Tamandua tetradactyla: one gene and its partners. The protein of the gene in region 2 purifies or fractionates together with the protein of the main gene of each other region. This does not show direct contact. Links are inferred from orthologs where the notes say so. Each region holds a gene or a part of one and is shown on either strand. Other genes may lie near its edges.

What was found.
Region 1: the proteins of PHB1 (region 2) and SLC25A5 purify together in Homo sapiens (affinity purification with mass spectrometry; 3 studies listed by BioGRID and IntAct, with this or other methods). This does not show direct contact. The link is inferred for Tamandua tetradactyla from reciprocal best matches to the Homo sapiens genes PHB1 and SLC25A5.
Region 3: the proteins of PHB1 (region 2) and VDAC2 purify together in Homo sapiens (affinity purification with mass spectrometry; 4 studies listed by BioGRID, with this or other methods). This does not show direct contact. The link is inferred for Tamandua tetradactyla from reciprocal best matches to the Homo sapiens genes PHB1 and VDAC2.
Region 4: the proteins of PHB1 (region 2) and NDUFS2 purify together in Homo sapiens (affinity purification with mass spectrometry; 3 studies listed by BioGRID and IntAct, with this or other methods). This does not show direct contact. The link is inferred for Tamandua tetradactyla from reciprocal best matches to the Homo sapiens genes PHB1 and NDUFS2.

Annotation. Positions count from the first base shown.
Region 1 is NC_135353.1:47,510,663-47,517,932, forward strand, and holds SLC25A5 (ADP/ATP translocase 2), read right to left. Parts: upstream 3,013-7,270; 5' UTR 2,915-3,012; coding exon 2,804-2,914; intron 1,812-2,803; coding exon 1,325-1,811; intron 1,146-1,324; coding exon 1,005-1,145; intron 608-1,004; coding exon 450-607; 3' UTR 187-449; downstream 1-186.
Region 2 is NC_135332.1:30,599,473-30,607,017, forward strand, and holds the start of PHB1 (prohibitin 1), read right to left. Parts: upstream 3,001-7,545; 5' UTR 2,905-3,000; intron 2,863-2,904; exon of another isoform or gene 2,667-2,862; intron 1,783-2,666; exon of another isoform or gene 1,680-1,782; intron 1,549-1,679; 5' UTR 1,509-1,548; coding exon 1,421-1,508; intron 108-1,420; coding exon 1-107.
Region 3 is NC_135339.1:21,372,138-21,379,507, forward strand, and holds the start of VDAC2 (non-selective voltage-gated ion channel VDAC2), read right to left. Parts: upstream 3,008-7,370; 5' UTR 2,849-3,007; intron 2,642-2,848; 5' UTR 2,618-2,641; coding exon 2,587-2,617; intron 1,604-2,586; coding exon 1,535-1,603; intron 934-1,534; coding exon 884-933; intron 1-883. UniProt on the Homo sapiens protein: Non-selective voltage-gated ion channel that mediates the transport of anions and cations through the mitochondrion outer membrane and plasma membrane.
Region 4 is NC_135330.1:14,329,402-14,337,403, reverse strand, and holds the start of NDUFS2 (NADH dehydrogenase [ubiquinone] iron-sulfur protein 2, mitochondrial), read right to left. Parts: upstream 3,008-8,002; 5' UTR 2,970-3,007; coding exon 2,875-2,969; intron 2,030-2,874; coding exon 1,923-2,029; intron 1-1,922. Other genes in the region: ADAMTS4 (A disintegrin and metalloproteinase with thrombospondin motifs 4), read left to right, coding at 6,799-7,494. UniProt on the Homo sapiens protein: Core subunit of the mitochondrial membrane respiratory chain NADH dehydrogenase (Complex I) which catalyzes electron transfer from NADH through the respiratory chain, using ubiquinone as an electron acceptor. Essential for the catalytic activity of complex I.

The DNA of each region.
Region 1 (7,270 bases), on a different chromosome or scaffold from region 2:
CTTTCTAACAGTATCGGAAATGTTGGCAGGTCACACAACCAAGTTATTCTTCGACAAGTGGATGGGCTGAGGACTTTTTTTTTTGAGGACTGATTATAAAAGTTCTTCATCTCAGCGTAACTGTAAACCCATAGTTATAGCCTTTATTAAAAATGCAAAAACGAAAAGAACTGCAAGCAAGCAAAATTGTATTTCAGATATTTTTATTTCTTCAAATTTGTTATTTATCAGGAATGACTGAAATAAAAAATATAATTGAGTCCCATCATCATTATCATGGAAATGGCTTTAAGAGAAAAAGTGGTCAGATGAATATTATTGCTTCCCATTTTCAACCATTAAATTGTTGCCATTGATAAATAGACAGCCAACCGTCTGTTGGGAATGCTCAAGATCTGTTACATAATACAACATGCCTGTTCACGGGAGGGGAAACACTAGAAAATAACTTAGGTGAACTTCTTGATTTCATCATACAAGACGAGCACGAAAGCACCACCCATGCCTCTGAGAACATTGGACCACGCGCCCTTGAAGAAAGCTTTGGATCCTTCATCACGAGCAATCTTCCTCCAGCAGTCAAGCGTGCCTGTGTACATGATATCAGCTGCAAAGAATAAAGACATGGAATTGGTGACCAAAGGCAATCAAAGTCTTAAGACTACTAGGCTAGAACAAGAGCCCTACATCTCTAAAATGCCAGTTTTCTTTAAACCCAACATTACACATTAGTGTGGACAATACTGAAATATTAATAGTGTGTCTAGAGAACAGGGATCTGCAGACTACTCATTGGCCTTAACCTCTAATACCATTTAAGCATCCTCATCCATAGCCATCTAATGGGCTGGCTCAAAGGCAGCTATGCAGCAGACACAGCTGCTATCAGTCCCATCACAAGACTTGAACAGACTGCCTTTTTAAAAGCCAGGCACCCTCAGTTTGTGGCCACAGCTTGCCCCATGCCCACACTCTTGACGATCTCCGGCTTGAATGAAACTTACTTCCTTTACGCCCTGACTGCATCATCATGCGGCGACGAACAGTATCAAAAGGATAGGAAGTCAACCCAGCAACGGCTGTGACAGACTGTGCGATCATCCAGCTGATGAAGATGTGAGTGTTCTTGGGATCTGGAAGCATTCCTGAGAACAAGAAAGCAGAGTTTTACTGACTTGTTACTTTCCACATCTCCAAACACATCCCTTCATCTGTACGAGGGTTATACTGGATGACCCTGGCTTCCTTTGCCAATTAAGGTTGGCACAATGATCTTTTAAATGGCTTTGCAAGAACATGGCTTCAAAGCATACAGCAAACTTACCCTTTGCGGTGTCATAGATACCAAAATAGGCAGCTCGGTAGATGATGATGCCTTGTACCGACACATTAAAGCCCTGGTACAGGCCCTTAATCCCATCAGATTTGTAGATCTTAACCAGGCAGTCACCAAGGCCTCTGAATTCCCTTTCAGCTCCAGCTTTCCCCACATCAGCTGCTAGACGGGTACGGGCAAAATCAAGAGGGTACACAAAACACAAGGATGTGGCACCAGCCGCACCACCCGATGCCAGGTTTCCTGCAAAATAGCGCCAAAACTGGGTCCTCTTGTCCACACCACCCAGGAAGATCTGCTTGTATTTATCTTTGAAGGCAAAGTTGAGTGCCTGGGTGGGGAAGTATCTGATGACATTGGCCAGGTTACCACGCCAGAAGGACAGAACTCCCTGTTCCTTGGGAATACGAACCACACAGTCTATAATGCCCTTGTACTGCTTATCTGCAGTGATTTGCTTGCTGGCATGCTGCACCTGACAAGAGAGGAAGGAGGCCAACGGAGGCAATTACAACCATGTAGAAGGGAAAGAGAATCTATTAACCTAACTAATGTCCTTTACAAGGTTAGCTCCTACCTCCCCACCCAGTCTTCTACCACCACGGACAGGACCCTCCTAACCCTCTGAGCTGTCACAGGTGGAAGAGGTGATCTGAGCCATTAAGAGGCATTAAGTCTTTGGGTGGGAAGGGGGCAACCCCAAACACAGGTTGACCTTTAGACCTAGGACAAAAGTCATTCACTCAGACTCTGGTTCCAAGGGTGAGTACACCTTAGGGCGCAGTCACCTTGATGACCAAAGCCTACGCCCCGGATCTCCAGAGCTCCCTCCCTGCTGCAACGCCCTCAGTCCTCTCCCAGAGGTGACCCGAGGCGCCACCACCCTACGGTCGTCCGGGAGCGCCCCCTAGTGTCGGAGCCGGCGAGTCGCACGGCGCAGGCAGGCAGGCGGGCGGGCGACCGCGACGGCTGCGCGGGGGTGGACGTAGCAAGCACACGCGCTTCCCGGCGCCTGCTTCCGGCGCGGCGAGGTTTGAGCGCGTCTGTCCACGGCGGGGCCCTTCGGCCGGTCCGCCCGGGCCTCCGCCAGGCTCTCTCCTTGCCGCGACCTTGAGGTCTTCGGTAAGGCCCAGCGTTCCTCTTTCTAGCACCGGCTTTAAGGCTGCGCCCTTGACCCCAAGGCCCGGGGCGGCAGCCACGGCCCTGGTGTCCCTCACCTCCCTCGGGTCCCGTCCCCTTCCTAGACCCGACCCAGAACTTCAGGTCATTAAAGGACCTCCCTCAAGTCTGCCTTTTGGTCTGATACTCTGCGGCCACCCCATCCCCCACCCCCCACCCCATCCCCACCTTGCCACTTTTCCGTACGTGTTTGAAGAGTTAGCTCCTCTCCGCTCCTGGGGACCCCCCCCCCTCCGCTCTCTGCCGGACCCCCACTTCCTGGTCGGCCTCTCCGATCTCAGGCCTTACCTGCAGCAGCAGCTTAACCCGCTCAATGGGCGCTACCGCGGTCTTGGAGATGGCCGCAGCGACTCCACCTGCCAGGAAGTCCTTGGCGAAGGACACGGCGGCATCTGTCATGTTGAGAGGAACGAGGAGGCGGGCGGGTACCGGATGGAGCTGAGGACCGGCTTCGACTCCCGGGCTCTGGGGCGGAGCGGAGCAAATGGCCGATATATATACGGGGAGTCCGCGCCAAGGCGGCCGGCGTCGGGGGCGGGCCGGGGCGGGCGCTGAAACCTGGCGCGCGGGGCAGCGGTGCCTCTGAGTGGCTCCACGCGCTGAGGGCGGAGTCGCCCCGCTGCATCTCTGGGCGCAGGCGTCCGCGCCGCGCTGACTCGCCCGAGGCGCCTGACCCGGCAGGAGGAAGGGGCGACCCGGGGAATACCCAGGACCTGGCTGCTGGATTGTGGGGGGAGGGCTCGGAGTGGGGAGGAAGGTTGAGGTCACTGTGTGCCGGGAAAAAAAATACCCCTGGGGCTGGGCCAGGACTAGCGTAAGGCGGATGAGATACTCGCCTCGAGGGCAGTGTAATGGGGAATGCCCCCCAACACTCAGTCATCGAAATGAATACTATTTTAACGCAGTATTTTTACGCTTCGAATAGGAGAACTACGGCCGCGGGATGATCGCTTTTGTGTTTGTGTGTGTGTGTGAGTGTGTGTGTGTGAGTAGATAAAGTCGCACTGGAGCCCCAGGACTGGGATTAGGGTAAGGCAAGTGAGGAGGAGCGTGCAAGTGCAGAGTCAGAGCCTGACCTTAATTACAATTTCGATAATTGGATCATCGTGGATTTTTTGCGGTAATTTTGACTTTTTAAAATAGTGCGTTAGAAAGAATTTATCTTGCTTACGGAGTTGCTTGGCGCCCTCTTAAATTTTTCGCCAAGGAGAATGTCTTGCTCTCCTCACCCTAATCCTGCCCCTGTCCCTGTGCTACACCAGAGGAGCCAGAGGAAATTGGGGGAACAGCAGAGTAGAACACTGTTAGCTCACGCCAGACTCCTGTTTGCAAATACAGTTCGATAAAGATCTTGCCAAGTATTACTCAGGAAACTCCAAAGGACTGGACTGAGGATGGGGAAATAAAAGAGGTACCCAAAGTGTTAAGAGACTGTGTGAACTAGATAAGCTTTTGGCTCCCTGGACTCCAGGTAAAGCACTCTTGGACATGGTAGATTCCAGAAAGGTTTGGAAGAATCGATAGAATAAGATTGACAGCCATTGTGTAGACAGTGTTTACTGAGCTGTATTAGTCTTTGAGCTGGGTAAGCACTTCCCAAACATGCCCTTAACCAACTTGTTAGCTTGAGTGCATGTCCTCAGGTTCAGAACAGGAGCCAGTAGTGTAACCACAGATCCTGTGTATAAATAATCACAATAGTGTTTACAAAAAACAAGGATGACTTCTGAAAAACTGCAACTGTAGCTGAACCCTAGGCTCTGAGACTTCAGAATTCCTAAGGCAAAATGCAGGCAGCCCCTTGCAGGCTGGAAGGCATAGCCAGCATATCCCTCACATTCCTTTTCTTCATTCTCTCCCACCTTCTCCAGATCTGATCCATAAAGGACCCAGAGAAATTTAACACTTGTATAGGTCCTCCAGGATCACCAAGCCCTTCCTCTGAAAGTATACTTTGCAATTTCTTACTCTTTCCAAGAATTTCGGACATTTCAAAGTGATGAGCATAAATCTAAGCATTCAAAGAGCAACTCTGAATCCAGCTGTGTTGATCTTGAGGGAAATATTTGACTGCGCGGAGGGAGACGCTACTCTGTTTCTTTCTTTTTTTTTTTTTAACATGGGCAGGCACCAGGAATCAAACCCCGGGTCCTCTAGCATAGCAGGCGAGTACCCTGCCTGCTGAGGCACCGTGGCCCTACTCTGTTTCTTATTAGCCAATTGTAACAGTGGTGCAGGTGGATACAAAAAAGACTTCATGTTATGGTTTCGGAGAATGATAGAGAATATACTCTGGAAGTTACAGTCATTCCTCACCTTCATTGGTGAGAAAAGCAGCAGTTAAAGCAACACTCCAGGGAGCATTTTATTTGGAAGGAGGTGGGTTTCACAACCCATTTCAAAATAGCATCCAAAATCAAGTGCTTTCATATTTGTGGTTCTGTCAGGTTTCTTTCTCTCCCCCAAAAGGTGATCAACTAGTCACATAGAATTTCCCCCCTTTTTAGTCTTTGGTGTAATATTGAATATAGTTTTATTGAAGATGATAAGATAGGTCATTTGAAAGCAACTTCATGCCATGCTTGTTTTTTGTTGTTGTTGTTTGTTTTTTGCCAAAAAACTAGTTGCCTATGATCATGTTCATGTTAAGTAGTCAGACGTTCTCAAAAGGGTCAAGGTCAAAAAAGACAAAGAAAGATGGAGAAACTGTTGCTGATTAAAGAGACCGAGGAGATATGTCAATTTACTGCAATCTGTGACCCTGGATTGGATCCAGGACCAGAAGAAGTACATTAGCGGTACAATTAGTGAAATCTGAGTAAGATCTATAGATTAGTTCAGAGTATACCAATACTATTTTTAGTTACTGTGTTTGTGTAAGATGGTAACATATAGAGTAACTGAGTGAAGGATATATGGAAATTCTTTGTACTGCTTTTTGCAACTTTCTTATAAGACTGAAAGTTAAAATAAAATGAAATAAAGGACACCAGGACCAAAAGCCCAGGAAAATAGAGAACACTATTCACGATGATAATGCCTTGTCAACCCATTAAAAACAAATTCCTCCAGTGAGGTATAGTATTATGATGTGTTATGTTAGTAACTATTATGTTTCTGGAAGCTATATAGAATACAAATATAATAAAGATTAACTAAAGCTAAGGCTGTGCTTAGTAATTCTCAAGAGAAAATAAAGGGTCAGAATTATACTTAAGGCCTCTGGTATTGCTTCAGTTTGCTAATGCTGCTGGAATGCAATATACCTGAAATTGACTGGATTTTGATTTACTTTTTTTTTTCTTTTGTCTGAGCAGGCTCTGGGAATCAAGCTGGGTCTCTGGTATGGCAGGCAAGAGCAGGCGAGAACTCTGCCACTCAGCCAGTGTTGTACTGCCTATGAAATTGGCTGGCTTTTACAAAGGGAATTATTAGGTTACAAGTATACAGTTCAAAGGCCATGAAAATGTCCAAATTAAGGCATAAATAAGAACATACCTTTACTCAAGAAAGGCCAGTGGCATCCGGGGTTTCTCTGTTACATGGGAAGGTACATGATGATGTCTGCTGGTCCTTCTCTCCCGAGTTGGTTTCAAAAATGGGTCTCTCAGGTCCTGTGGGTCCTTCTGGCTTCTCTTGGGGCATCTTCCTTCTCCAAGCCTCTGTGGGTCCTCTCTTAGCTTCTCTGGGGCAAACTCTGAATTTCGTCTCTTAGCATCTCCTGGGGCATTTTCTGTCTCCAAACATCTGTCATCTCTCTGCTTTCTGTATCGGCTCTGAACTCTCTGTTTTCTGTCTTTTATTTTCTTCATTGAGGACTCTAGTAAATGGATTAAGACCCACCTTGAGTTGGGTGGGTCACATCTTGGAAACAGTTTAATCAAAAGGTCCACCCACAACAGGCCTGCCCCTGTTGGGATTAGAAGTACATGGCTTTTCTGGGGTACATAACAGTTTCAAACCAGCACATGTATCTAGGTACCAATACCCAGAATTTGGGTAATAATGTGAATGTAAGCTGTTAATAGAAGGAAGACAACACAGTTTTATAGGTATCATTCAGATTTGATAGGTTGGGACTTGTGATTGGCAGCTGGGAAAGGAAGGGAAACTTGGCTCGGAGAGAGGTATGGAAGGAGAGGAACAGTGGTAATATGTCCAGAAAGTATGCATAGTAATTCATTGGCCACAGGGTGGAAAGCATTCAGTGAGGATGAAAGGGAGAAATGAAAATGACTGTAGTCGTGAAAGTATATAAGAATTTCCCAGATAAAAGATATGAACAGTACCTCATAAAGCTGTCACATAGGTGAGAATGATGATCAGAGACATAAACTATCTAAATATCTGTTTGTAGCTTCATTATTCTAATAGCAACACATCAGATAAATTCTTCACTCTCTTGCTGATAATTATAACTCTCATAAGACTGAAGAAACAGTGAGGGAAACTGCTAGGTCAGACTTAATCCCGACAATAAATAGGAAAATCTGGTTAGCAAAGTGAAAGTGACGAGAATCTTGGGGAACATGACCATGCCATCTGGATTTGTTAAGCAGAAGAACGCTGGGCGTGGCAGACAGGTTAGCTAAGCTTTTTTTGCAGGGGTTGGAACAGGCATGGGGATTGCAGACTTCAAAAGGATCAGAGAAAAAATAAGTATGATTTCCTGGCCAAACACCAAAAAAGAAAGACAGATCAAGACGGAGAGGGATTGCAAGAACAAAGTCAAAATTAAAAATTGTAAAAATTTCA
Region 2 (7,545 bases):
AATTGGTTTCTGTACCCAAGGGATGAGAAAGTGAGTCCCTTCCCCTACTACAATGTCTTGGACTCCACGGAACCGGTCAAAGATAACAGCTCTGTGTCCAGCATCCACTAGGAAGGAAGGATAACAGGTCAGAAAAACTCCCTAACCCTTTAGCCAAGAAGAGTATGTCTTTGAGAGATTCCTCGTGCTTTCTGTGCATTTATTAAGTCTTCTCTCTCCTGCTCTATCTTCCTGCACTTCTGGTCTCTAAAGGCTTCTAAATAGCTACAACACTAAGCAATCACTTCCTGTCCCATGTATCTCCCCTAGGACTTTGGTAATAGGATCTGCTCCTCAGAGTCCTTTCTCCTTGAAAGAAATCTGATTAACCATCTCCTCTGCAAGTCCCCAATAACACATTTCCAGGAATCACCTCCCAAAGTTCTTTGAAAAACTCACCAAAGTCTTCACTGTCATCATGCTCTACCATGCCTCCAGTGTAAGTTAGTGCTCCCATAAGCAGCACTCTCACCATGGGAATCCTCAAATTTAGAAGGCCCCATCCTTTCTTCCTAATACCTTGGCTTCTCTAAGGATTTTTAGGGGCTATACAGCTGTCTTGTTGATTCAGAGATACATTCAATGATAGTAGTAACTGTCTAGTTGTATAGGTTGTTGCCAAAAGGATCATAGTGTTAAGATACATCATATAAAGCAAGCAAGCTTTTCTGATCAGCTGCTTTCTTCCTCTGTTCTTTGGACTTTATGGATGGTCTAAATATCTCAGCTCTGAAAGCAATCTGCCTCATCATATCACTACACACGAGGTGGGTTGATCTACAACAGAATGTCAGAGTTGGAGTAGGTCTGAAGAGATAAACTACTTCATCTCCATTGCTTGATTAGTGAGGAAGCTGAGTCCTAAAGGGAAAGTGATTTGCCTAAGGTCGCACAGCAAAGCAGAAGAAAAACTGCTTAAACCCCTACTATACTGTTAAAAGTTGGGCAATGCATCTCAAAGGTATTTTTTCTGGTGCTACTCAACTGCAGCAGAGTGAAAGCTCCTGCTCAGGACAAGCTCATCAAATGGGTCAGAAGTACTTGTTAAGTTATTTCACATGCAGGTAAAAGAAGAGAACAAATGAGCTCTCCATTTCAGCTAGCCAGTGAAATCCTGGTACTCGGCTAACATATACTGGGGAGTGCAGCATCACTTGAAATCAGCAAAAGCAGCAACCAGCAACAGGGTGGGAGGCTCTTTTTAAATTAAGGCTCTGAGAAGAACCTATGGCCCAAAGAACCCAAGACTCTGGTAACAAAGCATGGTATGGGACAGAGGAGGTCAGCCCTCTTGGCCACAAGCATTCAGAAACATCAGCTATAATCAGGAAAGTCACAAGGTCTATGCAGGGCAATGACCCACCATCCCCTACTGTCTCACCATTATACAAGGCAGAGTTCACCACGCCTCCTGCAACAGCTAAGGCCAGGCCAAACTTGCCGATGGACTCAAATACTTTGGCAGCCATGTCTCCTTCTGCTGGACCTTGTCTTTTAGCTCACTCACTCCTAAGGGGGGTAAAAACAAAACAAAACAACTTGACCCCCAAATCCGCAGAGACAGTCAATCATCTATGAGGCACAGCATTCACTTCTCAAGCTGGCTACTTATTCCCCCACTCATAAGAGTTCTAACTCACCTGCAGAGGGACACAACTCAACAGCCTGGAAAAGTGTCTCAGCAATTTCTCTGCTTTTCCCTTTTTCAGTGCTATCACTTAAAGGAAAAGGCTCTGGAGCATTCTGTTCAATAATGGGAACATGAAGTTAAAAAGGTCGAAGAATGGGCTTGATACCACCAAGAACTTTTAGCTCCACACTAAAAAGTCCTCCCATTCCGAGGACAAGTAAGCCCCAAGAGGAAGTCTGTATAGTTGGTTCTGTGCAATTCTGGTTTGGAAAAACAATTAAAAGAATATGCTTCATGGCGATCCCAACAGATAATATTTATATCAAGGAGTGTTCTGAGGGCAATTTAATTAATCCTCATTAATTAATCCTCACAACAATTCAACGATTATAGATGAGGAAACTGAGGTATACAGAGCAGTTACAAGAGCCCCAAATCATACAACTATTAAGTGGTGTAACAGGATTCAATGGGGTTCAGCTTCAACCTTCCCCATATTGCTTCTCAACATCAAGCATTAATAATGCCATTTTATTATGGAAGCAGGAAGTTGATGACATTCTGGGTCCAAGAGAATGGAAAAAACAATTTGGGCATAAAGACTATAAACTGCACAGCCAGAAACAGCTCTAGTTGAGGAGGGAGGGCAGGACTGACGCGAAGTGGGTGGGAGCACAGGTCATCCAACCAGAAATGACTCCAGCATTTTAACTTTTAATACCCTGACCCAACGTCGACGTTCACCACTGTCTCAAATTCTTCCTCCCTCTCTCTCAGACCCCAAATCCTTTAAACTACCTTTATCTCTCCTCGAGCATTTAAATCTTCCTCCCCCGGGGCCACGATACCCAGTCCTTACCCCTCGGTCTTTCCATTTCTAATAGTCTCTGGATTATTCCTCACCCTGCCCCCATACACACCTCCCTTAACGCAACCCTTAGCTCATCCCGGGCCCACCTTTTTTTCCCTCCCTCACGAGGCCGACCCGCATACGCACCCCGCTCTCCCGGTACGTATGGAAAGACAGAAGGATTAACAAGACGCCGAGACAGAGGCCTGAGCCACAGCGCACAGTCCTCACCTACTTACACTCTGACCTCCACATGAATTCCCCAGCCACACACATTGCGCGTGCGCCCAGCGGCCACCCCTTCTCCGCCCCCTTCCAAGATCTGTGCCCCCGATTGGAGGAGAAGAACGCTATGTATTCTGGGAAGGGTGGTTCGCAGCCTTACCAGACTTCCTCCCCTCTTCCGAGGTGGACTATAATTCCCTTCAGGCCATGCAGCCGCAGGCGCGCGCAGAATAGCCGTTTTTCTTTGGCGGTAATTGCGGGGAAGTTGCCGCAAAGCCTTTTGGGCTCTGTAGTTTCTGGGGGATGATGCACGTGCCTGTACTGAACCGATGCTGGAACCTGGGGAATGGAGAGGAGCTTCAGGACCAAAGATAGGGATAAGTGGCTGCGCCTGCGGCTAGTGGCGCGGCAGGGTAGGGGCAGATTTATGGCTAATGAAAGAAAAAGAGTGGGCATCGTGAAGAAAGTTGTGGCGAATTAACTGGTGGCAAAGAGACCTTGCGGGAAGCTGAGGTACCGTGTTCTTCCCCAGGCCCAATCTGGAAACTTTCTCAGAATTGTGGGAGATTGGTTACCAGAGACAGAGGCAGTCTTAGAAACAAACCATCTACTCAGCACAACAGAAGTATGAACCCACTAGCAATTCCTGCCTAATGATCAGAATATGGGAGCAGGAGTTGTTTGGGGGCCACTAAAAGGGAATTTGGGGCTCACTGACGGAGTGTGGGAAATGGGAAGAAGTACAGGTCTGTTTATTCGATAGTCGAATATCTGGGGCCTACCAGGATTACTGGGGCTTGTAACAATGTTTAAAAACTCCGAATATATAAAGAAAACCTCAAAGGCAAAACAAAAAATTAAAACAACAACAAAACATCTGAACTAGAAAACTAAGGCGCGGAATGAAGACGGGATTCATTCAAGGTCATGTACCTAGTTAGCAAAGGGATTCAGTGTAGAGTCCAGGACAGGATTTTTAAAGTACGTTTTATTTGGAAAAGTTGCAAGAATAACAGAAAAAAACGTGTAATCTTTATTTAGATTAACCTTTTGTTAACATTTTGCTCCACGTGCTTTTTATCATTTGTTATCTAATTTTCTTTTCCTAAACCACTTGGGAGTAAGCTGCATACCTCACGGTCATTTATCCCTAGAGTATAAAGTGTGGATTTTCTAAGAATAAAGGTATCCTTTTACATAACCTGGGTAAATTTAACACTGATATAATACTTTAATCTGCCATTTACATTTTGTCACTTAACAAAATAGCATTTCCCCTCCTTCCCTGGCAATTCAGGATGCAGTCTAAGAAAAGATGCTGCTTTTAGCTCTCACTTCTCTTTAGTCTCTTTTAATCTGGAAAATTTCCTCAGCCGTCTGTTGTCTTTATTACTTTAAAAAATTAATTTTTAATAGAGAAATCGTATGTTTACAGAAAAATCATGCAGAAAATATACAGTTCTCATATTACCCTACCCCTACCCCCAACACACACACACGTATACACTGCTGCCTGTTATTAACACTGCTTTCAGTTCTTTGGGGAATATACCTAGAAGTGGAATTGCCAGGTCATATGGTATTTCTGTTCATAACTTTTTGAGGAACCATCAAACTTTTCAACAGAGGCTACAGCATTTTACATTCCACCAGTAATTCCTATTTCTCTACATCCTCTCCAACACTTGTTATTTTTCGAGTTTTTTTTTTTTTAATTGTAGCCGGTGTAGTGGTTGTGAGATGGTATCTCCTTGACGTTTTGATTTCCATTTCTCTAGTGGCTAATGATATTGAATATCTTTTCATGTGTTTATTGATCATTTGTTTATCTTTGGATAAATGTTTATTCATATATTTTGCCCATTTTTAATTGTACTGTTTGCCTTTTTGTTGCTGAGTTGTAGGATTTCTTTATATATTGTGGATATTAAACCCTTATCAGATATGTAATCTTCAAACATTTTTTCCCATTGTGTAGGTTATCTTTTTACTTTCATGGTTAAGTCCTTTGATGCACAAAGTTGTTGTTTTTTTTTAATTTTGATGAGGTCCCATTTATCTATTATTTTGTTGTTTGTCCTTTTGTGTAACATTTTATTACATTTTAAAAATAGAGAATGCTTCTCATTTTGGATTTGTCTGATGTTTTCTCATGTAATCATGAGAAAATTCAGGTTTTGCATTTTTAGCTGGGATTCTATATACATGTTGTTATGGACACCTAATTTTGATGCACACAAGCCCATTTCTGGTCTGTAACAGAATTAGAGTCCTTTAACTTCATTTTCCTACAATTTTCTCCTCTCCTCTGCCCCTCTTCCCTGCCCCACTCAATACAGTCAGTCAAATGACCAGAAATATCCACTCAGTGAATATTTCAGATGATGTGTGTTTATCATCAAAAGCGCAAAGGAGGGAAGTTCTATGAGAGCTGGAAATCTAATCTATTATCTTCATTCTTCTGTTCTCAGCACCTACAACAGTATCTGGCACCCAATAACCCTCAATAAGTGTTTGTTGAATAACTGAGTGATGGAGGGCATTAAAGGGAAAGTGACTGGTTAGTCAGGTTGTGAACGGGAAAGAAGCCAGGATGCTTCAGAATCCTGCAAAATTACTCTTGATATCATTTGCTTCTAATCCAATGTCAATCTCAGGAATGCTTAAAATATTAAAATTAACCAATTTTTATAGAGTGCTTTATAATTTTCAAGTGTATTTATCTAAAGATCCCACTAGGCATTATCACCATCTATTAATCACATTTTACAATATGGAAACTGAGGTACAGAGGTTAAATGATTTGCTCATGATCACTAACTTAGTCTGAACCAGGCAGGATTGGAACCAGGTCTTCTAGGTCTAAACCCCGTATTCTTTCCACTCCCCCCACACTTTGTCTTGAGAAACAAAGGCAAGGGGAAAGCTCAGGTGATGTGAAAGCTATATGTGGACTTGGACTAGTGGTTGGTAGAGAAATGGGGAGGGGGAGGGTATGGATACTGAGAAAGGTATTTGAAAATCATTTAATTGTGATGAGGTGAAGAATAGATTGGCACATTAACTTTGGGAGTGGGTCCAATTTGTTCCCCTTCAGTCCCTCTTCTTCGTGATGGAGGTTGGGATTAAGAACAAATATCTCTTGAATGCCTACTATGGACTAGTTGCATTATAAATACAATCTTTTTTAAAAAAATATTTTTATTGAGGTATCTTCACTTATCACACAGTGCATCCAAAGTGTACAATCAGTGGTTCACAATATCATCACATAGTTGTGTATTCAGTACCATGATCATTTTTAGAAAATTTGTATCACCCCAGAAAAAGAAATAAAAGGAAAACTCCATACATCCCAAACCCCTTACCTCTCCCTCTCATTGACCACTAGTATTTTAATCTACACATTTTTTTACCCCTTATCTACCCTGTTTTAGTTTGTAAGCTGCCAGAATGTAATATACCAGAAACAGAACAGCTTTTAAAAAGGGAATTTGCTGAGTTGCAAGTTTACAGTTCTAAGGCCATGAAAATGTCCAATTAAGGCATCCAAAGAAAGATAGCTTAACTCCAAAGAAAGGGCTGATGAAGTTCAGGGTTTCTCTCTCAGCTGGGAGGGCACATGGCGACATCTGCTGGCTTTCTCTCCTCATTTCATAAGGCTTCTCAGGGGGCGTTTTTCTTCTGCATTTCCAAAGGTCTCTGGCTGTGTGGGCTCTGTTGGCACTGAGCTTTTTCCAAAATGGTTCCCCCTTAAAGGGCTCCAGTAAGCAACCCCATATTAAATGGGTGGAGACACATCTTTGTGGAAACCATCTAATCAAAAGTTACCACCCACAGTTGGGTGGTTCACATCTCCATGGAAACAATAAAAAAGATCACCCAGCAATATTGGATAAGGATTAAAGAGCATGGTTTTCCTAGAGTTCATGACTGTTTCAAATAAGCACATTCCACCATTTGGACCCCCCAAAAATATGTTCATTCCGAATGCAGAATACAGTCATTCCATCACAATATCACAAAGCCTAAAACCATTTCACTAAAACTACAAATACAGTACAGTCAGAAACAGTACAAAATCAGCTACAGTCCTGGTCTGTCCTAAGGCAGAATTCTCCTCTGGCTGTGGACCTGTAAAGCTCAGAACAAGTTAGCTGCTACCAACATACAAAGGAAGTTCAGTCATAGGATATGTGTTTCCATTTCCATAGGGAGAAATTAGAAGGAACACGGGGGTCACCACACCCAAACAGTTCCAAAAAACTGCAGGGCAAACTACATTAGATTTCAAAGTCTGGGAGTCATTTATCCTAGGGGCTTTAGAAAGCAGCAATCTGATGCTTTCCAAGGGCCTACGTAGTAGCCCTGCTCTCTCCAAATGCTGGCACGGAGTTTGCAACCCTGGAGGACATTGGGGAGATCACTATTTTCTTGGATCCCCCCTCTCCAAGCATTGAGGCAACATTCGGCTCTCTGCCATCTCCAGGGCACACAGTCAACCCCTCCAGAACAATGGGGTAGCAGCCAGGCTCTCCCCAATCACCAAGGAATGTGCTCCACCCTCTCCAAGGCCTGGGCACAACTCTTCCGGAACATCAAGGTAAAAGGCCCACCCTTTGGCTTCAGATCTTAGCTTCCATGGTTCTGCCTCTGAAGTTATTTTTCCTTCAGTTTGTCCCTTTTCTGTCCCTTTTAGTCCAGACTGGCAGTGGTTCCATTTATAAAGACCCTGCAACACTTTTGTTGGTTTTCTATGCAGTATACTGAGATCATGCCCATCAGACAAAAGAACTTTCCG
Region 3 (7,370 bases), on a different chromosome or scaffold from region 2:
AACCAAATGATAACTGTGACCAATTAAAAAAACCCAGAAACCCAACAAGTCTAGGCATTATGAAACTACAACATGACTAATTTAGTAAATACCGGTTACATACACTAAAGGTGTTAACAGCAGCAAAAATTTGTAGAAGTAACCAGTAATATTCAATATACCATCCACGCCCAAAACAATCTCAAAAAAATTTTTAGAGTAAGAAAAAATTAAAACAAAATGAAATTTTACTTCATCCTCTTTGTAGAAGTTAGGGAAGGCTCAAAACACCCAAATATCAAAACATTAACCTCTCTTAAAACATTGCATTCAGGACTCACGAGTCTCACAAAAAACACATGGAAATCTTCTCCATGCAGGGCTACTAAAATATGGCCATTATATAAACGATCAGGACCCTCAAATTAATAAGAAGTTACTAAACATTTTCATGGCCATATTTCTGACAGGCATTGAGAAAAAGGATTACAGAAAGCATATAGGTTTCCTGCCTTCAAATTTGCAATCTTACTGACTAAACAAAGAGTCCCATCACCGGTGTCCTTCCTGAGTTTTGCATACAAAATAAACAGTCTGGCTAAAAAACAACATGAATATCAGAAATCATTGCCAAAGCCAAAATAAATCAGGCTACATACAGCCCTCTTGAGATAAAACTGCCTACTTCTGTCTCTTCGTCAAGATAACATATACATAGGGTGGGCCACGGTGGCTTAGCAGGCAGAGTTCTCGCCTGCCATGCCGGAGACCCCAGTTCGATTCCCAGTGCCTGCCCATGCAAAAAAAAAAGATAACATACATAAACACCTTTCAGCAATGACTATTTATGGGTTGAAAAAGTAGACAAAGGCTCATCAGAACTTATCGGATAGCTAACACTCACCACGCCACTGCATGACTTTGTTTTCACATCCAGTTTCACCAGGCCAAAACCTTCAACAAGTAGAGAGCAAAAGATAAGATTGAGATGCAAGCCAATAGGTGTCTATATGTTGAAAAAAAAAAAAAAGATTCCACATATCCAGAGGAAAAAAAATGCATGTTGATACAATATTTAAATGAAAATTAGTTCTACATAAACTGAACTTGTAAAGGACAGAACACCTCCATGCTGAAAAAAAAAAAAGCTTTCAAACTGTTTATCTAAAGAGCTATCTCTAATTGTAATCTGAAGAGGTGAAAAAAAATAGTCAAGAAAAATCCAAATTCACTTGAAAAAACCATATCGTTTGATCACCACCATAAAAGCAAAACAATAATACATTATAACTAGTCAAACAAGGCTGAAGTGTCTACAACTGAAGGAACCAAAAGTACAAGCTGTTTTTTCTTAAAGGTTAAAATCCTTCAAGTAGTTTGAAAATATTGCGGGGAATTGGGGTAAAGGGGTATGTAAATTGTTACCTAAAACGTGTCTGAAAGAATTAATGCAACAAAATATTTATAATTTGAAGAAGATTGAGATTAAGTACCCAAACATACACTTTCACTTTTTATCAAAAACGGGGGGGGGGGGGGGGGGGAGCAAACTTACCAAATCCTTTGTTGAAAATATCTCTGGCAGCTTTGCCAAGGTCAGCATATGATGGAGGAATACACATCGCTGGTGGGAAGAAAACATTCCACTGTTAATGTCCCTGCTCATTTGAATTGTGATTCTGATGCACTATGAGCTACAATAAACCTTTACTCCAGTTATCCCTCAAACAGGTATCACCAAAAAAGCCTATTTCTACAATGGATAACCACATCAAAAAGACTATACAAATTTGCTAACTTCCTTCCAAAATCGACTAACACATTTTCTATTCCGAAATTTACACAGAACTTATAGCCTCACTTCTTTGGACCAGACTGGAATCAAGCACAGCTAAGAATCTAATAAAAATCACTGAATGGGCTGATTTTACCAAATGAGATAAAATCAAAACCTAAGGCTAGACTCCCTCCCCTGATACATATCTCAGCATCCTGAGATCAAAACAAACGTTCTGAGTAGGAAAGAGAACTTAATGCACTGGGAACTTAAATATTGGAACTTAGACAAAGTACAGCTATCTATGTTTTACGCGTCTACAGGAACTAAATATAAAATGGCATTTTTAACATACTAATATGACAATCAAGTCCTGGGCCACTGCAGCGAGGTTTATGGACAATCTGAGCTCCTTACACCAGCTCATTCATTCAACAAAGCATGTCCACGCCCTCAGAAGCACATTGACCTTGCGCTCGCACAAGGGAGAGTACTACTTCCTCTAAAAAGTGACTGATCCAATCTCTCAAAGGGAGAATCCAACAATTGGTAACTTTTTGCTTTTTTGTTCGTCAAAGGCACGTCCAATAACTGAAAGTGAGTGTGGCCAGAGACCAACTCTCCGGGCCCAGTCTCTCCACCCGAGAATCCAGCAGTCCGATCCCTCCTCCGCAGAGCCCGGGTGGGCACATGGTAGAGCGGCTACCGGAAGGGAACGAGTTTCCGAGTTTTTGGAAAGATGTGGGGAAAGAAGTTGCAGTTTTATGGTCGGCAGGCTCTAACTCCCCGGACCCTCCGCCCCATTCCGCAGAGATCATTGCTCTACTCACGCCTCACGCAGCTCTGCCCGTAGGTCGCCATAACGAGGCCAAGGGAAGGGGTGATCTGCAGGAGGGACAAGAAGTGCGGTCAACGAAGGTCGGAGGCAGGTGAAGGGGCCAGAATCGGGTCTCAGACAGAGATGGGCTAGGGGCCGCGGGGCAGCGCGGCCATCTTAGGGAGTCAGGGCCGACCCCGAGTCTGACTCGGGCCTCCCGCTTAGTCGTCTCGGCCTAGGCCCCCCGGGTCGGTCTGAGGCGGGCACGGCGATACCTGGTTGACTCCTGACCGGGGTCGCCGCAGCAGATCCGCTCGTAGCTGAAGCCGCTAAGCTGCTTCAAGATACCGCTGCAGCTGCCGCAGCTGGAGGGCGAAGTGAAGGAGACACCGTTCCGCCCGCCGTAACCCCGTCCTTCCCTCGTCAGGACCCCGCCGCTCCCCGCGGCTCGCCCGCCGCGCCTATCCCTGCAGCTCCGTCCGCCACCCTCTCCAACTTGCTCCGGAGCAGCCATATGGACCGAGGACAATCGAAGACTCAGGTTGGGCTGTCTCTGTCCATTGGCGGGAGCCGGGAAGGCAGAAGCTGCTGGACTTCGGGTCAGGCAGCGATGAGGGCAGCCCTAAAGTCGAGGGGGCGGGGAACAGCGAAGACGACGCGACGAGGACCGCGCGGACGGGGATGAGGCGGAAGTTCGGCACGCGCTGGTCACGGGGGGCGGGGCGACAGGAGGGTGTCCGGGAGCCCAGAGTGGTTGGGTGCGGCTGTGCATCCCCGAAGGTCACGTACTTCTCTCAGCAAGTGTCCATATCCCCCAGAAAGACTCTATGTAGAGAGCGCCTGGAGCCCTGAGAACCCCGTCTACCCTGAGCAAATGCGGCATTTGCGCCCCACTCAGGGTTGGGACTGCTTCACACACGAGAACCGTAACTCTTGGGGAGACAAGCCTGTGCAGGTCCCACCTTCATCTGAATGAGACGGGTTTGGAGAAACTTCAGGATTCATGCTGATCGGGCACAGTAGGAACTTGATGCTGTACTTGAGTTCTCCGGGTGTGCGGGTAGAGTGGGGGAACCAAGGGAACAACAATAACAAAAAAAAAGAGCAATCTAATGAGACGGAAGTGGGGTCAGGTGGGGCTCCGGAATCAATCGCTTATCTCAGTAATTAGCCCCTCTGTACCTTAGTTTTCTCATCTATAAAATGACAAGTTTAAAAAAGAAAAAGACATTTAATAGTCAGTCAGTTATAGACTATGAGCAGTCTTTCCTCCCCCTCATTTCTTCTGGTTCTTAAAGCCACCTCTGCTCAAACGCTGCCAAAGTTCCATTCTCCTAAATGAGGGAAAGGATAGGCTAGATGGACTTTCACAATGAAAACCCTGATTAAGGGAAAGCTTGTCCCTCCCATGAGCAAGCCGAGCCATCAGTCTTGTTTAGGCATGGCTTGGCTTATTCATTTTGTAAAGGGTAGAAGAAAAGAGTCTGCCCATAAGAGATCAGGTACCAGAAGCGCTGAATCATTCCTTTCATTCCTTCATTCAAGCTCAGACAGGTCAACCTGCAATGAGCCTGGCTCCCCTGGGAGCTGGTTTGCTCCATGTTTGATGCTTTTGTGAGGGAAATGGCAGAGAATGGCATCCCCATCCCAATAGCTCCCAACTGCACCCCAACACACCACTTCCTAGAAAAACTGTGTCTGCTAAATTAGTCACCTCCATTACCTGCAGTAGGGTTTGTAACAATTGTAGTCCTCAGGGAACTTTACTTTACTACAGAACACAGGTCTGAAGCTCCGTTCTCTGCAAACCCAAGGCATGCACACAATACCTAATAGCCTGGAAAGGAAGATCTCTGGTTAAACAGAGAATCATGGCAATGTATTCCAAAATTGGATTTGGTAAATATATCTGAATGCTTTCAGTCCAAAGCTCTGTAGACCAAAGTGGCATTAGTAACAGCTACCACTTATGGAACAATTACTTGTGTTACCCACGGGAAAGCAAAGTCGAATGAGACACAAATCCTGCTTTCAAAGCTCTTAGGTAGGGTCAGGTATGTATAGGGGTGTCAAAACTTGTGAAGGATTCGAGATTTTACCTTTCTTACAAGCCAACAAGTTCGCCTGCCATGGCTTCATAGACACTTGCAGAAAATAGGAGACTCCTGAATCAAAGACAAGGGATTTTATTATGGCACAGAAGGCAGCATAAGCTTAACATTTACATCAGTTCTCTTGTCCCCTATATCTCACATGAGTGACAGAGAGTGGCCCAGATAGATGCTGTGCACACCATGAATTTGTGTCATAACTGAGGAACTCTGAGCTTAGGAAATCCTGTCTGCTACTAACAAACCTGCTCAACCTGTGTTCCAGAGGAAGACATTATACATCAGAGGAGACAGAATCTAACCTCTGTCCACATCACAGTACTAACTCTATCTTCCAAGGCTGTTTGCTATGCAAATATCCTTGAAAAGGTAGGCTGGCACAAAAGCTGACATGTAGAGTGCCATGGAAAATTGTCACCCAACAAAGGGTGTGGAATGAGAAAGACAAGCTCAGGAGTTGTAAGTACAGTAATAAGATATAAGTACAGAGAGCTATGAGCACAGTCAGACTGAGAAGAAACTTGCACTAAACTCTAAAAGTAGGATTTATCAAAACTAAAGCGCCGACAGGTTGGGGGATGGGAAGGCAAAAATCTAGAAAGAAGCATGGGCGACTTGGAATGGCAGGAATCATTTGGGAGCCACAAATGATTTAAGTAGAGTTGGAACAACCTGTGGAAAAAATTGAGCAGTTAGGCCAAAGAAGTTGACTGGAGCCTAATTCTGAGGGTCCTGAGCAGGCGAGTGAGGAGAAGTCCAGATTGGCTGGAAGCAACCTAGACTCATCTGACTTGAAAAACTTGGAACACAAAATCCCATTCACTCTGAGAAGGCCTCCAGGAAGAGGGGCAGGTTTGAGGGGAAACAGGATGATTCAATTTCAGATTAGTTGAATATGAGGAGCCAGGAGTCCCATCTATGTGGAGTTATCTAATAGACAGTTATGAAGGTTAGGAGAAATGTCTAGGTAGGAGACATTGACATGAAAATTTTAGTTTTAATTATGACTAACCATGGGAGTGATTAAGGTCAGTGAGAAATCAGATAGGAATACAGAAAGTAGAAGCCTAAGAGGAGTTACGGTGTTTCAGGGGCAAATAACATAGAGCTAAAGAAGAAATTGAGAGACTAAAAGACACCGCAGGAGGGAGTACTTTCATGGAAGCCAGAGGAGGAGTCATTGGGTGGAGGAGGGAGCGCTCAACAGAGTAACATGCAGAGAAGAGGTCAAATGAGGTAAAGAGAGAATATTAGTTTTCTGTTACTGTGTAGTAAATTACTCAAAACTTAATGGCTTAAATAACGAGCATTTATTATATGAAAGCTTCTGTGGGACAGAAATTAGGAAATGGCTTAGCTGGTGGTTCTGACTCAGGGTCTCTTATGAGGTTGCAGTTAAGATATCCGCTGGGGCTGGAGTCATCTGAAGGGTTTATTGGGGCTCGAAGATCCGCTTTCCTGATGGCTCCCTCATGTGACTTTTGGCAGAAGACCTCAGTTCCTTTCTATGTGAGCCTCTCCAAAGGGCTACTTGCAATGTTTTCATGACATGGCAGCTGGCTTCCCCCAGGTAACACTATTTCTTTTGCCACTTTGGCTGAAATTCACCACTTCCATCAAATTCGATAAGAGGCTTTAAATCACAGATACATCATTTCTTATAACAAATGTTGTAAGGTGATCCAAGAAAGAGAGACTGAAGCCATAAGGACTTACTTGACCCAGCGTCGGAAATCACACACTGTCACTTATACCTTAAGCTCTTTGTTAGAAGTTGTGCTGGTTTGAAAGTTTTATGTGCCTCAGAAAAGCCATGTTTTAATCTTGATCCAATCTTGTGGGTGCAGCCGTTTCTTTTAATCCTGATTCAATACTGCAGGTTGGAAAGTTTTGATTAGATTATCTCCACAGAGATGTGATGCCCCCAATTGTGGGTGTGATCTTTTGATTAGGTGGAGATGTGACTCCACCCATTCCAAGTGGGTTTTGACTAGTTTACTGGAATCCTTTAAAAGTGGAAACATTTTGGAAACTACAAAAACCTTAGAAATGACAGAGCTGATAGAGAGCAGAGCTGACAGAAGCTTCAGAGCCCAGAATGGCACAAATGCCAGAATGTGAACAGAGATACAGATGTTTGGAGATGCTTGGAGCCAGTAGGCATTGCCATGAGATGTTAAGCAAGCCAGATCCTGGAGATCCAAGGGAAGTCAAGAGATGAAGGCCAGCCCTGGGGAAGCAAAGTGAGGAATCCCTACAGGAACAGAGGCTGAAAGTAACAGAACCCAGGAGCAAGGGACCAGCAGATGCCAGCAACATGACTACCCAGCTGACAGAGGAGTTCCTGACCCATCAGCCTTCCCTGAATTAAGTTCTCTTTGCTGGATGCCTTAGTTTGGACATTTTCATGGCTTAGAACTGTAAACTTGCAACTTAATAAATTCCCCTTTTCAAAGCCATTCCAGTTCTGGTACATCACATTCTGGCAGCTTGCAAACTAGAACAGGAGTTAATTACTAAGACCAGACTGCATTCAAGGGTAGGGGAATTAGGCTCCACCTTTTGAAAGGAGTGTCAAAGAATTTGTAGATATATTTTAAATCACCACAGACCAGCCCCTAGTCACATTATTTGCATTCCTCCTACATGCAAACAACATTCACCTCTTCCTAAGACCTCTCCAGTC
Region 4 (8,002 bases), on a different chromosome or scaffold from region 2:
CCACTTTTGTAGGATTGCTCTAAGGATTAAACGAAATAGTGCATAAAAAATGCCGAGCACATGGTAAGCATCAGCTATTGTTACTGCTATTTTTTTCTTTTAATTATTGTGATAGCATATATACAACATAAAATGTGCCATTTTTAAGTGTATAATTCAGGGCATTACTTTTACAATGCTATGCTACCGTCACCCCCCCAATCTTTTCCATCACTCCACACAGAAACTGTACCCATTAAGCAGTAATTTCCCCTTCCTCTTCTCCCCCAACACCTGGTAAATTCGAACCCACTTTCTGTCACTATGAATTCGCTCATTACAGATATTTCACATAAGTGAAATCATACAATATTTGCCCTCTTATGCCTGGCTTACTTCACTTGACATGTTTTCAAGGTACACTGTATACAGCGTATGCATATACCACATTTTGTTTATTCATTCATCTGCTGATGGATGTTTGTGTTGTTTTCATTTTTGGTGGGATGATGTGAATTATGTGAATAATGCTGCTGTAAGCATTGGTGTACAAGTATCCATTCAAATCCCTTTTTTCAATTTTTGGGGGTATATACCCAGAAATGAAATTGCCCAGTTAACTTGGTAATTTTATGTTTAATTTTTTGAGGAACTACTAAACTGTTTTCCACAGCAGCTGTACCAATTTACATTCCCACCAGCAATGCACGAAACAAATTCTCCACAATCTCACCAATTCTTTTTTAAAAAATAGTTATCGTAATGGGCATAAATTAATCTTGCATTGAAGTTTTGAGAAGCATTTTCCTAACAGCTAATGATATTGAGAATCTTTTTAAGTCCTATGGGCCATTTGTAGATCTTCTCTGGAAAAATGTCTACTGAAGTCCTTGGCTATTTTTTTTAACTGAATTGCTTATCTTTTTGATGCTGAATTGTAGTTCTTTATATATTCTGGATATTAATCCCTATCAGATATAATATTCACAACTGCTTTCTCCTGTTCTGCAGGTTATCTTTTCACTTTCTTGCCAATGTCCTCTGGTACACAAAAGTTCTAAATTTTGATGGTCTACTGTTAAGTTTTTTTTCTGGGGGGTGTATGGTCCAGGAATCAAACCCAGGTCTTCTGCATGGAAGGCAAGCATTCTACAACTGAACCACCCATGCACCCTACTGTTAAGTTCTTGAAAGATAACTGGAAGTGCTTTTGAAGGTTTTTGAGCAAGAGAAAGAATGGCACTGTAAAATGATATTTGTGGAAGATGAAGGCAATAACATTCTATAGGAGAGTTTAAGATGGGACAGATAAGTGGCAAGAACCCATTAAAGAGACTCCTAAAATAATCAAGGTTAAATACAAGATAAGTCTTCACAGGAATGATGACAACAAGAATAGAAAGGGAGAAATGATGAGATGTGAAACATGTGGTGACTTATTGGACAAGGACAGTGAGAGAGAAAAGAACCAAAGATGACTAAAAGGTTTCACTCCTGAGGGATTAGGAGAATGCTGTTACTGATTAAAATAATAAAACAAAAAGAAAGAACTACTTTTGTAGGAAAAATGTTTTGTATTCAGGCAGGTTTTATTTGGGCACCCGTGGGAAAACTATCTTGTCCAGAGAGGGAGTAGGAAATGTGGCACTGAACCTTTGGAAAAAGTTGAAGCTGAAGATTTAAATTTGTTAGGGACCTTCAGGTGTTAACTGGGACCTACTTTTAATTTTCTTCCTGGGATGTCCTTCCTTTCCTTTTCTGCCTCATAAATATCTATCATTATACCTATTATTATTTTTGCTGAATTGGGTGGTGAAAGAAGTAAAGAATGGAGGCTAACACTTGCCTAAAACAAAGAGCAACCATCTAAAATGACAAGAGCCTTGGAAATCAGCTTCAGGTAAGGATGGGTGTGGGTTGGAACCATAATTCTGGGCACTCACCGTTCCAAGGTGGAGGCTTCCAGTGGGCTGTTTCCTTGGTGGGGTACATGACAGCTCCCCCAAACTGCTCTGCCCATTCCACATCTGGCTGCCACTGCCGAGCACCTCTAAGAAGTTAAAGACAAATCCTAAACAAATAACCTGAACAGTGTTTGGCTCTTCTGTAGGAGAAGAACCAATTTCCACTCACTCTCAGATAGGACCAGGAAAAGTTGCCCTCAATCCTTCAGTGCCTGAAGGCTCTGACGCAGAGTTAGTATAGCTTTGGCAGAACAGGCTGGAAACCTAGGCATTCCACTTCCAGTAACAAGTTACACTTCACCCATCGCCCTTGAGCATGCAAGGCTGGGAATCCTAGCTCCTTTATATTCATATCCCCATCCTGGAGAATATGAATGATGGATATTTATTCAAAGTCCCAAATAAGACTAAGCTAAGAAGTAGGGAGTGTAAGAGGGTGAGAGAGCATGTGTAAGCATTCTGTCTCCCAGACTGAGCTGGCTGAGCACTGGGTTACTCAGGTATAACCGGGCAGGTGCACTGGGGTCTACCCGGGGTGCTAGTTTGCATTACTCCTTTATCTCCATCAGGGGTGCTTTCCTCTTCTCCTACAGTGACCCTGTCTCTAAGGAGATTCTTCACCACTCATACCCTAGCCGGGGTCGGAAAAGGCAGCGGAGCATACACTAACACTAACGTTGAAGGGCAGGATCTCCTAGCCCGCTGATTTTACACCTGGAGAACGAGTCAAGACCCTCCTCCCTCCCGCGGCCAAAGTGGGCACCACTGCATCCCGAACCCATGACAACAGGCCTAGAGGAGGGGTGACAGGCCTGGCCCATTCCTTCCTAGGGGTCACAGGGCCCATGGAATGTCCCGCCAAACTGTTTTCCACAGCTTTCGAGAAATCCTAGCCTTAGGGAAAGCGCTCGAGAGCTTCCCTCGATCTCACCTGCAGGGCTGAATCGGCAGTCTGACCCCAGACCCCGTCCGCAGCACCAGGGCCGTGACGCCCCGGAGGCTGCACAGAACCCTCAGCCCCGCCATCTTGCCCGCTGCACACTGCAGGAAGGAGAAGCGGGCGGAAGTGACTCGCGCGCGCCTCCTTGGGGGCTTCTCGCCTATTAGCAAAACGGAGCCGCCCTTTTGGAAGCTGGCAGGGTTGCGGACCGCGAACACGATAATATCCGGGTTCTGAGCCTCGGCTTCACTTTCGTTTAAAGGACGGGGACTGCGGTGATCTTCGCTGAGGACGGTTCTTCCCATTGCCCCAGGCTTGGCTTTTCTAGGCGTGAGCCAGAGAAACTTCCTTTCCTTCCAGGGACAACAACTCACTCTTTCACGCTCTTCTCGCCGAGCCCGCCTGCGTGTACCTTAGAAAGTGCCCTTCCGCAGGGTGCCCAGCACACACTGGCGCAGCGGGCTCCTTCCCTGCCCCCTTCTCCCTTGGTTGTCTTCCTGCCTAGTCCTGCTCGCAGCTGTGTTTGAGCCCTCCCTGCTCTTCTGGCTTTCTCGGTTATCGCCCCATCCCTGAATCCAAAAGATTCGGAGGAACCGAGAAAGCCAGCAGCGCACCCCTCTAATTTCCACATGCCCTACCTGAATCGGGTTAAGGAATAGGGGCCCGAGGGGCTAGGCGGGCCTGAGAACTCCCCCTAAACCAAACTTAAAAAGAGTAGGATGCCGGGAGGTACGACAGTGAGTCAGTGGCAGAATTCCCGCCTGCCATGCCGGAATCCCGGGTGCGATTCCTGGAGCCTGCCCGCCCCGCCTCCCCGCACCCCCCCCCCCCCCAAAAAAAAAGGCACTGTAAAAAGAGTAGCAGGATGCCAAGGCAACCAACGTTGGCAGAACAGGCCGGAGTGTGAAGAAGACACTCCACCCCAGCCCCGGCAGGGAAATTCCCCCTGATAATTGCCAGGCTCCCTAAACTTACAGAATTACAGACCCAGGAAGTTCCTTTAGAGATGTCTCACACCCCACTTAACATCCTGGGTCAGTGTCTTTTCCCTCAGGTCTCTCTGACTCTGCCTCAGTCCTGGACAGTCTGATTCTAATGCTGTAAGGAAGGGATGGAGTTTTCAAAACCTTGGAGACCAGTCACTGTTCTCTCCCTCTCCTTCCAAGCCCAGCTCCTGCTGGGCCACCCGTCGAGTTTTTACATCCCCCCCCCCACCCCCCCTAGCGAAAAGAGGCCTTTCCCAGATTTCCTCCAGACAGTTCCTGGGACACAGCCCACCAGCAGTACAGAAGGATGAGACAGACAGACCAGGGGTGTGGCAGAGAAAGAAGGGAAAGCCAAACTTCTTGCCTGGGAATTGACCTAATGGGAATGGTACCAAAAGGTGGGGGGCAGGGCTGTGGCTGTGGGAACTGGCCAGGACCTGGGGTGGACAGGACAGCCCCCTCAGAACCAGGGCAGAGATTTAGCCCCGCTGCCCTCCTCATTCTTCACCCTTCCCCTGGGCCTTCTCTTTCTCTATAGTTGGGACACAGTTAATGGGTCACAGATGGTGGCGGACGCTACAGGGACTGCATTTATTTGCCCTAATCCAGCTTGGGAGAAGTCTGAGCTGCTTGGCCCTGGAGGCAGCTTGAGCTGGGACTCGGGTGAGGGCTTCTGGGGGGCGGCTTGGGACACTGCATCTTTTGTGCCTTCTCCCGGCTGGCAACCCCCCCACACATACACATTGCTTCTGTGACTCTGAGGCTCTTTGTCTCTGACTGTTTAGTCACCTCCTTTGTCTTTATCTCAGATGGGGGGTGGAGAGGGGCAGCAAGAGCTCTGGGGATAGCTCCTCTTGCCCCTGCCCCTTCTGTTCGCCCAACCCTTGTCTGACTCTTATAGTCCCAGACCCCTCAACTCAGGATTAGGAACATGCATATAGTAGGGCAAGAGTTGGGTCTGGCAGTCACAAGAGGGAGGGTGGTACAGGAACTAATAGTCACCAGCAGGTATTAGTAACCTGAGTTGGAAGGGAGGGGGAGAGGAAATATTCTGGCGGAAATGATGTGGGGGACAGGAGGTGACAAGGCAGAGAGTGAGTAGGGAAGTGGCAGGGGTAGGAGGAGAGGTGGTCTGCCTGGGAAAGGGAAAGGACTGCTGATTGCACTGTCTTTCCTCGGGATTTCCTGGGGAAACAAGTGGCCATGGGGTGGGGTGAGCAGAAATTGCCCCTATTTCTGAACCCCTTAGTGCCTTGCCTTGAAAGTACATCCCCAAGGTCTCTTTTCTGACTTCCCTCCAGTCCAGAACCAAGGGAATCATTTTGCTTCCTTTTCCTAACACACCTCTTCTTCCAGTTGCCCCACCCCCAAGCACCACGTTCTCTTTCTCCGAATACCTTAATTTCCTTGTAGATACAGTGCTGCTTCCACCCTCTCTCCCTGTCCCAGGGTGAACAGCAAATAAGAAATAAAAGATTACTAGATATTCCAGGAAGAATTGGGTTCACAGGGTAAGGTGGGGCCAGCGGAGGGAGCTAGATAGGGGATTCCCTTCTATTGACACTGAGTACGTCTGGGCTCCTGAGAATAAGACTTTCTCAGGCTGGGGGCCCAGGGCTGGCTGACTTGAGGCTGGGAAAGGGTTTAGGGCAGTTGGGAGTAGGTAGGAGCAGGGCCAAGAGCCTGGGGAAGCGACTGGGAGCTGGGCCAGGGAAAGGGGAATCAGGAAGTGGGGAGGGGGAGCCCTGGGGGGAACGGAGGCGGAATGGCTGTTCCGGACTGGGCGGTAGTGGTAACTCAGGAAGAGGGAGCCTGAGGGAGAGAAGGGGTGTTGGAGCAGAGGAGGTGCCACCCTGGTCCTCCTCTAAAAGAAAAAGTCGTTAACCCCTTCTGCCTTGTCCTCTGCCCCCTCCAAGTGCCCATTCGAAGACTCATTCTAACTCTGGGCCCTGGTCATGGCCTCCTGGCCTACCCCATCTCCCAGCGGCCTGTACTCTCTCTAGCTGCTGGGTCCCATCCTCAAGGCACCTCAATTTTCTTTTCTTGTTCTGCCCTCTTAATGATTTTTAACTTGGTCCACACCCTCTTTCTCCAGCAGCTCACTAGTCTCCTCAGTCCAGGGAACCAGCTTCTAGAAGCAGGGGGTAGCATGAAGGAGCCCTGAGAAAGGGGAGATCATGCCAGGTTAGACAGTGAGAGCAGAAATTCTCCCAGGACTGTGGCCCTTTCTGTGCATGTTGGCCAGGCCCTTTCCCTGATTTCCTATCCCTCTTGGGGCTCTAGTCCACCAAAAAGGGAAAGAGACATCTGAGAGCTGATGTGGGGTTTTGGGAAAAGGCTATGTCATCAGCTGGCCGGGTGCCTCTGATTTATCCGGCTGCTAGAGATTCCCCTCCCCTGGGCAAGTCCCTTTTTTTTTTTTCCCAAGGAAAACACAATCTAGGATTTTGGGAAGCAATGAGACACACATCTGAGTCCCACCGACAGAGCTCCCGGCTGAGTGGCTTATAGCTCAGCCAATCGCGGAGGTTGGGGATGCTTAAAGGAGCTGGCGCGGAGAGAGGCTGGGAGAACCCACGAGGAGACCCATAGACACGGGAGAGACAGAGGAGGAGAGAAAGAGACAAAGGCACAACGGAAGGAGGCAGAGACAGAGAGGGCAAGAACAGAGGGGAAGCCAGACAAAGTCATACAGTAGGAAAGGCCAGAGAAGCTGCAGAAGATACTGGCAGGCAGAGCCAAAGATCCAGGAGAGGCAGGCGCGGGAGGAGAATTTGGAGGAGCCAGACCACTGGGATCTCCCCTAAGCTTAGGGGCCAAGTTTTCTCCATCTCCTCTGAAGGTCCCCAGCCCCTTTGAAAACTCTGCCTTTTGCCTGGCACAAGTCCGAGTCCCCAAGCTGCAGAGAGGAGCTTCCTCAGGCCAGGGCATGGAGGGCTTCATGCCCCAGCCAGCCTCACTCTCTCCCAGCTGTAGCTCCAGTGCCCTGTCCCGGACTGGCCCATGTCCCGGGAGGGGCTTGGCGGAGTGCTGGCTGTGGGGAGTCCAACTCCGCCTGCTGCTCCCCACTGTGCCCCTCTCCGGGCTGGTGTGGCTGCTTCTGCTGCTGCTGGCTCCCCTCCTGCCCTTAGTCCAGCCGGCCAGCCCCCTCCCCCGGGAAGAAGAGATCGTGTTTCCAGAGAAGCTCAACAGCAGTGTCCTGCCTGGCTTGGGAACCCCTACCAGGCTGTTGTACCGCCTGTCAGCCTTTGGGGAGACGCTGCTACTAGAGCTGGAGCAGGACCCCGGCGTGCAGGTCGAGGGGCTGACGGTGCAGTACTTGGGCCAGGCGCCGGAGCTACTGGGCGGGGCTGAGCCGGGTACCTACCTGACCGGCACCATCAACGGAGACCCGGAGTCGGTGGCATCTCTGCACTGGGATGGGGGAGCCCTATTAGGGGTTCTGCAGTATAGGGGGGCCGAACTGCACCTCCAGCCCCTAGAGCGGGGCACTCCTAACTCTGCTGAGGGGCCTGGGGCTCACATCCTACGTAGGAAGAGCCCCGCCAGCGGCCAAGGCCCCATGTGCAACGTCAAGGCTCCACACAGGCGCCCCAACCCCAGCACCAGCCCCCGAAGAGCCAAGGTAAGCAGCCCTGAAGTCTATGCCCTATAGTGTCCTCCTGCCATGTCTGTCCTACTGACCGCTATTTACCCTCTCTCCACCCACTGCTACTTCTGACCATTCTGCTCCTCTCTCTCCTGCCTGCCTTTCTCTCCCTTCACTAGTCTCCTTGCTTGGGGATCTGTCTAGCGGAGGAGCCAGGGATGGCTGGGGTGGGGTCGGGGGGGCGTGTCAGGAAGACCCTGGTCACTCCCTGCTCCACCCCAGCCCCAGCCCTTCAGCTGATCCCCTGAAGGTCACTCTCTAGGTTGAGAGTGACCATTCCCACCCCATGCCCTGTCCCTGCCTGATCATGGTGTCCCCTACTGGCACAATCCCCAGCAGAGAGGCTCTCCTTACAGCCCCTTGACTTTGGCTCTTTTCTCTGTCCCAAGGGGGTTTACAAACCATCCCCCACACCCCATGCCAACTCTCCACCCCCTCAATTCTCCTGCCCCCTACCCCTCCCCACTGACCCCCCAGCTAAAGG